Drosophila melanogaster: one gene and its partner. Changing the gene in region 1 together with any one later gene gives a genetic interaction. Each region holds a gene or a part of one and is shown on either strand. Other genes may lie near its edges. The genes, in order: Dr and amos.

What was found.
Region 2: of Dr (region 1) and amos, changing one suppresses a phenotype caused by changing the other (phenotypic suppression), as found in Drosophila melanogaster (one study listed by BioGRID).

What each region holds. Positions count from the first base shown.
Region 1 is NT_033777.3:29,554,846-29,559,690, reverse strand, and holds the start of Dr (drop), read right to left. Parts: upstream 3,306-4,845; 5' UTR 3,056-3,305; coding exon 1,846-3,055; intron 1-1,845. UniProt on the Drosophila melanogaster protein: Plays a key role in the specification of proneural and promuscular cluster formation. Required for the specification of dorsal and lateral muscle progenitor cells. Regulates development of peripheral nervous system derived from lateral neuroblasts.
Region 2 is NT_033779.5:18,595,426-18,598,800, reverse strand, and holds amos (absent MD neurons and olfactory sensilla), read left to right. Parts: upstream 1-1,879; 5' UTR 1,880-1,894; coding exon 1,895-2,491; 3' UTR 2,492-2,665; downstream 2,666-3,375. UniProt on the Drosophila melanogaster protein: Transcription factor involved in early neurogenesis; sensillum basiconica formation and maybe sensillum trichodea development. Promotes multiple dendritic (MD) neuron formation. Required for olfactory sensilla; regulated by lozenge (lz).

The DNA of each region.
Region 1 (4,845 bases):
AGAAACTGAAACCGAGACTGAGGGCCAGAAAACAACACAAAATAAAAAAACAGCTGCCAAATGATACGAAACGAAACGAAATGAAATGAAATGAAGTTGTTCGACTGTATTTTATACACATGCAGCAGTTGACAGCCAAATGACAAAATAAGCGGCAAATGTTTGGAATAGTTTATTCATCTCGGCATCTTTATAGGGAAGGAACGAAAGATAGCTCAAGTGGTTGATGAAGGGCGGTGAATTGATGGCCCACATCGAGATTGATTTATATCGATTTGTTGAACAGTTCCCTTTTGAAATATTTTGGAATTTATGAAAGCACTTTTAGAGATGCAGTTCTGGAATTTCATGTATTAATAGTTTGAATGAGGCGGTAATATGGTAATACTCGAACTAACCTACTTTAAAGCCCAAATTTCCTAATACAACACCCCATTTGAAGCCCTTTTTTTCAAAACACAGCCGACAGCTTTATAAAACAATGCTTTGTAGTGGCAAGAAAAACCCGAGCATATGCAGCAAAAACAGGAACAATAGTTGCTGTTCTGCATATAAAAAGCAAATTTACACTTTTTTGCCCACCGTTTTTGCACCGCCCTTTCCGAGTTTTTCGAATGTGTTTGAGCAACTTTAAGGAGCGGAAACGCAGAGTTCGCGATGGCCGAGTAAAGTTCACATGTCAGTCCGGCATCAAAGTGTGACTTGTCGAGTGTTTTCCCCGATTTTCCACCAGTTTTTCCCTACGACCCGCGGTGCTTTTTGTCCAGGAAATGCAGGCAAAGTGTGAACTGTGCATGCAGATAGAGATCGCCCAGTTAAACAGCCAGACTCGCTTCAATTAGTCTGGCTGGTCGGTTAGACAGTCCGCTTTTTACGCGCTTATTATTAGATTTTCCAATTCGGGAACGGTAATGGGGGGCTGGCTGGCTGTCAGACCGGAAAACACCGAAAAACGCCGCTGGCCAGCGAGTGCAATGAATAATCAGACGTGGCCAATTGAGTCAAATCAGAACCGACGCGACTATCATCAGCCATCAGCCATCATCATCATCATCATCATCAAATAATGGGCCCAGCGCAATCAGGCAGTTTTCATTGTTTTATTTAAGGCCCCGCAATAATTGCCACGCACTTTGACTACAAACTGCAGTCACGATCACTTCCATTCCATAGCCATGATGACGATGACGACGAGGTGGCCATGATGGAGCACCCGCAGCTCGCGTCCGACCAGGAGCGGAGAGTCACCATCGATGCCAATTAAGGCGAGGGGCGGCAGTTAATTGAATTAAAATGCGACACAAAATGGTGTAGATAAAGTTGCCACCGCACATGGGGCATAAAACAATGAGGGGTGGGGTGGGTGGTTTGAAATTCCTCCATTAAATAAATCGTTTTTGAATACACATCGCTGGCTGCTAATGGGGAATTTGCTCCCAAGCGGAATTCGCGTATTTCTATTGTTCACGGGTTCAGAAGTTCATGTTTATGGGTTTACAGTTAATTATAAATAAATATATGAAATGTAACTATATATACACTCATATTTACTTTGATGTTAAGGCTCTAAATTGAAAATATTTTCGAAAGAGAGTTGAGGTTGTTTTTATTTTTTTTGAAGTAAACCTTTTGAGTTCTATATTCTCTCCTATATATATTTTTATTTTCCCATTATTTAATTATGCCCATGCTGAATCCTCCATTGCAAATGAGTTTAAAATATCGCTTAGGACAGGACAGTTAAGCACATGTAACAGATAAGGTTTATCATTTCCCCTCTAGGAAGTACAAAAACCGAAAACAAGCTGACAAAAACCCCACAAAGAACTGGATAACGACACTTACCTCCACCGAATCCTGCTCCCGGAAACATGCCAGGCGGTCCGAAGGGCGGCATTTGTCTGGTTCCTGGCCACGGAACTCCACCGCCCATTCCCGTCCAGGCCACCGCCGCGGCGGCCAGTGCACTGAAGGGGGTCGGGCGGATGGGCACATGACCGGAGGCCAGGGCCGCCGGGGAAAGTATCGTGGATTGCATGTGAGAGCCCGGCGGCGGACCGTGCGGCGATTCCAGCGACTTGCCGCTGCCGTCGAGGCCGTCGGGCGTGGAGCGCGGCGAGTCGTCGGCGTTCATGTCCTCGATATCCACAATGGAGTCCTCCTCCTCGTCGTGATCGGCCTCGTGGTCCTGCAGCATCTCCTCGTCGTACTCCAGCTCGGAGTCCGTGTGGCTGCCCAGCGGCGAATGGCGTTCATTTTTGGCGGGAGTGGAGGCCACATTGCCCTGCGATCCCAGTGCGGATCCCAGTGGCGTGGAGCTGGGCGTGGAACTCGTGGAGGCGGGTGGCGAGTTGGCCCGGGCGTCCGCCTGCTGCTGCTGTTGGCGCAGCTGGGCGGCCATCGCCTGGTGCTGGGCATGTGCCGCCGCAGCCGCGTGGGCGGCCTGCAGCAAGTGGGCGTGGTGCGCGACGGCGGCGGGATGGAAGGTGTTGGCGGGAACTTGGGCGGCCGCACTGGCCGGCGGAGGCGGCGGCGTGCTGCTGGCCTGGGAGATGGGCGAGGTGGCCGCCGAACTGGTCAGGTTCTGGGGTCCATCCGCCGCCTGGTTGGGTGGCGTTCTGGGCCTCGTGTCCGCCAGGAGAGAGGCCACACTAAAGTTGCTCAGTCGGGAGGTGGTCTTGTGCAGATGGTGGGCCGGCGGATGCACTGCGGCCAGCTGGAGCGCCGCCGCCTGCTGCTGCTGTTGCTGCTGCTGCTGGTGTTGCTGGTGCTGCTGCAGCAGATGCTGCTGATGGGCCAGCAGCAGTGCCGACGGCGAGGTGGGACTGGCCAGGGCATTCAGGCCAGCCGGGTGGCTAGGACTCAGGTTGGTCAGGTTGCTGCTGGTCATGTTGCCGCTGCTCATGTTGCTGCCGCTGTTGCTGCCGCTGTTGCTACTGCTGCTGGTGATGATGAGGTTACCCGCGGGAGTGTTACTGCTCGGCGGCACCGTGGGACTGGTCATCGTCTGGCGCAGACCTGTAACTGTCATGCTCGCTGGGCTGAGCTTTAACATAAAGCCTTTCGATCGTTTGTGTAACTGTGGCTCGTTAATACTGTGCTTTAGGTGCGCCGGTTAATTGGTTCATTGAGACATGGTCTGCTGTTAATTTGTTTTGATTATCTTTCAATTAATGCGCTCGTTCGTCACACGCTTGGGAAACACAGACACACACTGTCACACGCGGCGTTTTGTATCTTTTCAGGGGCTATTTATTTCCAGAGAGAGACACGTCCTCTTGAGATCACGTCTGTTCTGCGACTGAAACTGTGGTCGCAGTTTCGGATGCACCGCTGCCTGCCACACAGATACTCACTCACACCGACGCACTCGACGATTGGTGGTGGGAAACCGGCTGTGTAGAGCGTGCCTCTCTCTCACTCCCGTGGTGGAGTGCACCGCGTGCGACACCATTTTTATTGGTTTCGAGACTAGCTCGCTCGCTCTTTTTTTCCGGTGTGAGTCTTGTATTTCTCCACTTTTCTGACTTTTGTTCCGCCTTCTTTTCTCTTTCGCTCTCGCTTCAGTGTGGTGAGTTTGCCGCACTCTTGCCGTACAGACAGAGATGGTGTAGCTGCCCCGCAGTATAGCCGTCCCTGTCGCACGCCTAATTATTATTGAATAATTCAATCTTCAAAGCGTTTTTCCACTTTTTTTTCGAGCTGCTGCGCGTATTAGCATTTTATAACAAGCAGCGGCGGCAAACGCCTGTCCATTTCCACTTTGGTTTTCTGGCTTTTCCTTCCATCTCCATTTTCCCTCTATCTCCCTCTTTATCGTTTATGACTTCATTTGGCCAAATTGGCGTGATTTTTTAAGCTTTATGTACGCCTAATATGTACATATATATGTATGTATATATAGACCAGGCGGTTTTTCAATTTTAATTGGCACTCCTACATGTCCTTAGCGTACAAGAACAATATAATAAATAATAAGCCCATCATTATCAGGGCCCCAAAAGCATCAAATGTCGGGTGGAGCGGCATTATCGCAAAGCTGCAATCTCGGTCAGGAAATTATGTTTTTTCTTCCCTTTTGCTCCACCTCAGGAGATAAGCCATAAAAATCGGATCGGTCCACATAAATCGAACGTCCCGGGAACCCGGCCGAATCAATCACATACATATAAATGTGAAATATGCAGGATTATATAGAATTTTGCCAACCCCCATAAGCTCCATAAATTGCAAGGTTGGCGGGTGGAGTGAGGGAGGGAGCGGGAATACCGCACCCTTTATAATTCTCGCTCTACAAATTAAACTCATTTTAAGGATTATTATGTGAAATTGTTGGCTTGAAAACTTTTGCCAGCCATTGTTCAGCTGCTCCTTTGTTTTCCGCTGCTCGAAGGACCAAGTTGTGAAAATGGGAAATGGGCGTCGGATTGTGCGGGTTCGCTCGGCTTTTCGGGCGGCAAGTTGGTGAAAGGATTTTAATGACAATTGCCAGTGGGTGGAAAATAAAGAGCTCAATTAGAACAGTTGACGAATGGCTGTGTGGTTGCCTTAATTAGTTGCAAACGATGCTGAAAATGAAACGACTCTGCATGATTGGGGAAATTCTAGCCAATTAATTTGAGTTCTTGCCTAAATGGGTTGGGTGAAATTTAGAAATATTTTTATATAATTTCTGAACTTTTTTCAAACTCTTTCCGAAATCGTTTTTAATTACACTTAAAAGAAACCAAGACAGTAAACTCGTTTATGAACTTCTCACATTTCCCAGCCATTCAATTAACACTTGATATACCTCTTACCACTTTTCCAACGCCCCTCTTGACTGATTAAAATTTTTCCAACTTC
Region 2 (3,375 bases), on another chromosome or scaffold:
AACAAACAAATCTTTGTATATAATAATTCATAATTCCAGATTATTACATGGTAATTATGCTCAGGACAATGAAGTTAGGTCTGATCCATTTCAGACCAACAATGGGACCAAAAAACAAAGATCCATTGTCAGGCATTGCAATACAAAGAGTGGAATCAACAAGTGTCGGGCGAGAAGAGATTCCCATGGAATTCCTGGTGACTCCGGGACTCTGACTTCTAATCTCATTTTCGCAATTTAGCGCCAACAACTAATCCGCAAAGCGAAAACGATTAATCTGGCAGGGAAAACCCAAAAACACGCAACTGCCAGACGTATCCGAGATTATCATCAGGTGACCTATTGTTGGTCAGAAGAAAAGAAACAAACGGGCATGGATATGGATGGAGTGCGGAGAGAGGTTCCCACTTTCAACCAGAACCGCCCACCAACCGACTACCTATTGTTGCTATTTTGACAGGATCGAGGTCCCAGGTAGCGCAGAAAAATGCTAATTGGAAATTCCAGAACCTCTTTTCGAAGGCGTTGCAGATCTTTAGGTTATCCGCGAACCTTTCTCCCGAAAATATTGCAGCATAATGCCTAATCTGGGCCAGGATTTCGACTAAGCTGCGGTCGCGTGGCACTCTTAACAAAGTGAACCGATCGAGCGATCGATCGATCCATCAGCTATCATCATCATCGTCAAGATCAAACGTCAGGATCCTTTGTCGGCTCGGGACTTTGTTCCTTGACAATTTGGGCGAAGTAACTGGGCCATCTTGCAGTGGCATCATTTGTACTCTTTAGCCATGCTCGGCGCTTCTCGGCCAGTGTTTTCCAATTGTTTTGCCCAGTTTCCTTAGAAATTCAGCGAACTCCTCGAATTGATTTTCCCTCTAATGCTGCGAGTCTGTGGAGTTAATTAGCCTTTCGATGCGGTCACTTGAAAGTGGGCTTGATCCCAAGATGACTGTGGAAACCAGAGCATACGAATGAAAGTATATAATGTGAGGGTGCAACATATTGCACCAGAGTTTCGAAGGACCCATCGAATGGTTTCAGCATGTTAAAGTAGTGTAGTTTTATTATCGGAAAAGTAACTCTTCAGTAAAGGCGTTAATATAGCACATTTCAAATCCCTTAATATGAAAATAATAATAAATAATAATAATGTGATACTTGCTTTGATTTCTTCATGCTTTTTTGAATTTCGAACTTCTCGACGTCCTGTAATTTGGCCATTGAAAGCAGGAGAAAGCCACTATTAATACACCCACTTAAATTTGACCCAATAAAGTAAGTACAACCGCCTAAAATCGAAAGTCACAAACCGCACAAGCACAATTGTTGCTCTTTGTTCTGTCCGAAAAATGGGGTTTGCATCCAACCAGTCGAGCACTCCACTCACTAGACCACAGACATGCAACCAAGATGATCCATGGCGATCTTCGATGGAGGCACACATTGTGGAAAATATTCCCATATGACAAGAGTCTTTTGTGCGTTCGCATTTTGACCTTGGCTAAATTTTGTTTGAATATAAAAAGTCAATTCCAGGGCAAGTAACAAAAGAGGTATGATTACAGACGGTAGCCAAATGACAGGTCAAACAAAAGGAGTCGACCTGTAGCTGATACAGTAAATACCTGGGAGAAAGAGGGAGAGAGTTGCAGCCAGAGACAATTAAACGTCTTGACCGCAAGCCAATTTAGGGCACGGGCTGTGCTGCTGATCCTCAAGAGGTTGGCAATCGGGTACCTGAGCGGATCGGATCAGCTTGAGGCAGCGAATCAGGTAACAGGACATATGTAGTGAACCAATCACGTGAGAGCTGAATCCTCGGCAGGCAGCTATATAAAGACCCATCCTCAAGCAGCCACTTCAGTTGTCCCTTGAGCCTGCAAACGTAAACATGTTGACCAACAACGAGCTAATGGAGCAGTTCTACTTCCCCGACGAAGCCCCAGCGATTCCCGAGTTCCTGAGCAACGACACCTTCCAGCAGTTGGAGCAGCTCATGTACCAGCAGGAGTTCAGCACCAGCGACAGCCAGTCGGATGGCGCCAACAGTTGCTCCTTGGAGATGTATTACGATACGCCGTCTGTCCTGGAATTGGAGCACATGCTGAATGCCCAGGAGCAGCAGCAGCACCACCTTCAAGCGAATCCCTTGGGCAAGAATCAGGGCAGAAGTCCAAGGTACTGGAACAAGCAGCAGAGGAGCAAGCCATACGACAAGCTGTCCACTTCCATGTCATCATCTACATCCTCCGCCTCTTCGAGCAGTTCATCGTCCGCGGGATTCGGTGGCGAAGTCCTCAAAAAACGGCGACTGGCCGCCAATGCTCGGGAACGGAGGCGGATGAACAGCCTGAACGATGCCTTCGACAAGTTGAGAGATGTGGTTCCATCACTCGGCCACGATCGGCGACTCTCCAAATACGAAACTCTGCAAATGGCGCAAGCATACATCGGGGATCTGGTCACGTTGCTGTCCAGAGACTACTAGCCAGTGTGGGCGATCCTTTATCCTTTCTTCCTCAAATGGAAGTTCCTTTTGCGGGCTGTGTTGCAGCAACACCTTCATATCCTAGTGGAAATCTTATAAAGGCTGTTAGTTTTACGTTTATTATCATAGTTGTACACAATTCAAGCAATAGTTTTATAATAAAAATGAAAATACAAATCAATTATATTGTTTTAAATTCATATCGTATGAAATGGTGGAGTTGGAATGAAAATAATGTTGTGCGAACTTGGAAATTTATATTTTGTTTGAATTGTATCTTTGCATTTTTTGCTGGTACATATACAGAATTTAGAGCAGATATTTTTAGAGAGAAAAAGGGAAAAATCCAATAAATATTTAAAAAAAAGATAGGAAGTTTATAGGTACTGAAATGTAAATAACTTATCAGACTTATTAATTTACATAAATATATGTAAAAACTCCATTTATCAATCCAACTGATGCCTCCACATTTGTTTTTATTCGCCACGCTTTCATCTCAGCCCGAAAAAGGGTATCCTTGTTATCCTTGAAAGATGAGAGCGGCATGGCAAGCTAGGCAGTGCGCCACGCCCACGAACCAAAACGAAAGGTCATAACATCAGTAACAAACCGAGAATTAATGAGTTCCGCTTCCGACTCAAAGTGATGGAACTCCAAAACAGAAGTGATTAAATGCCGCAAACGTCAACAGGTAAACACACTGAGGATAAACACAGTCGCTACCTTAGATCCTTCGAAGATTAGACGAAAATTGATTTAAACATAGTCATTTGTAAGTGCTATGGGAACTGTGGGTGGACCGAGCGAGTATCTATCTGAAACGGATGAAGTCGAGGATCCAGAAAGACAAAAGACGTATCGTACACAACAGTTTTCAATTG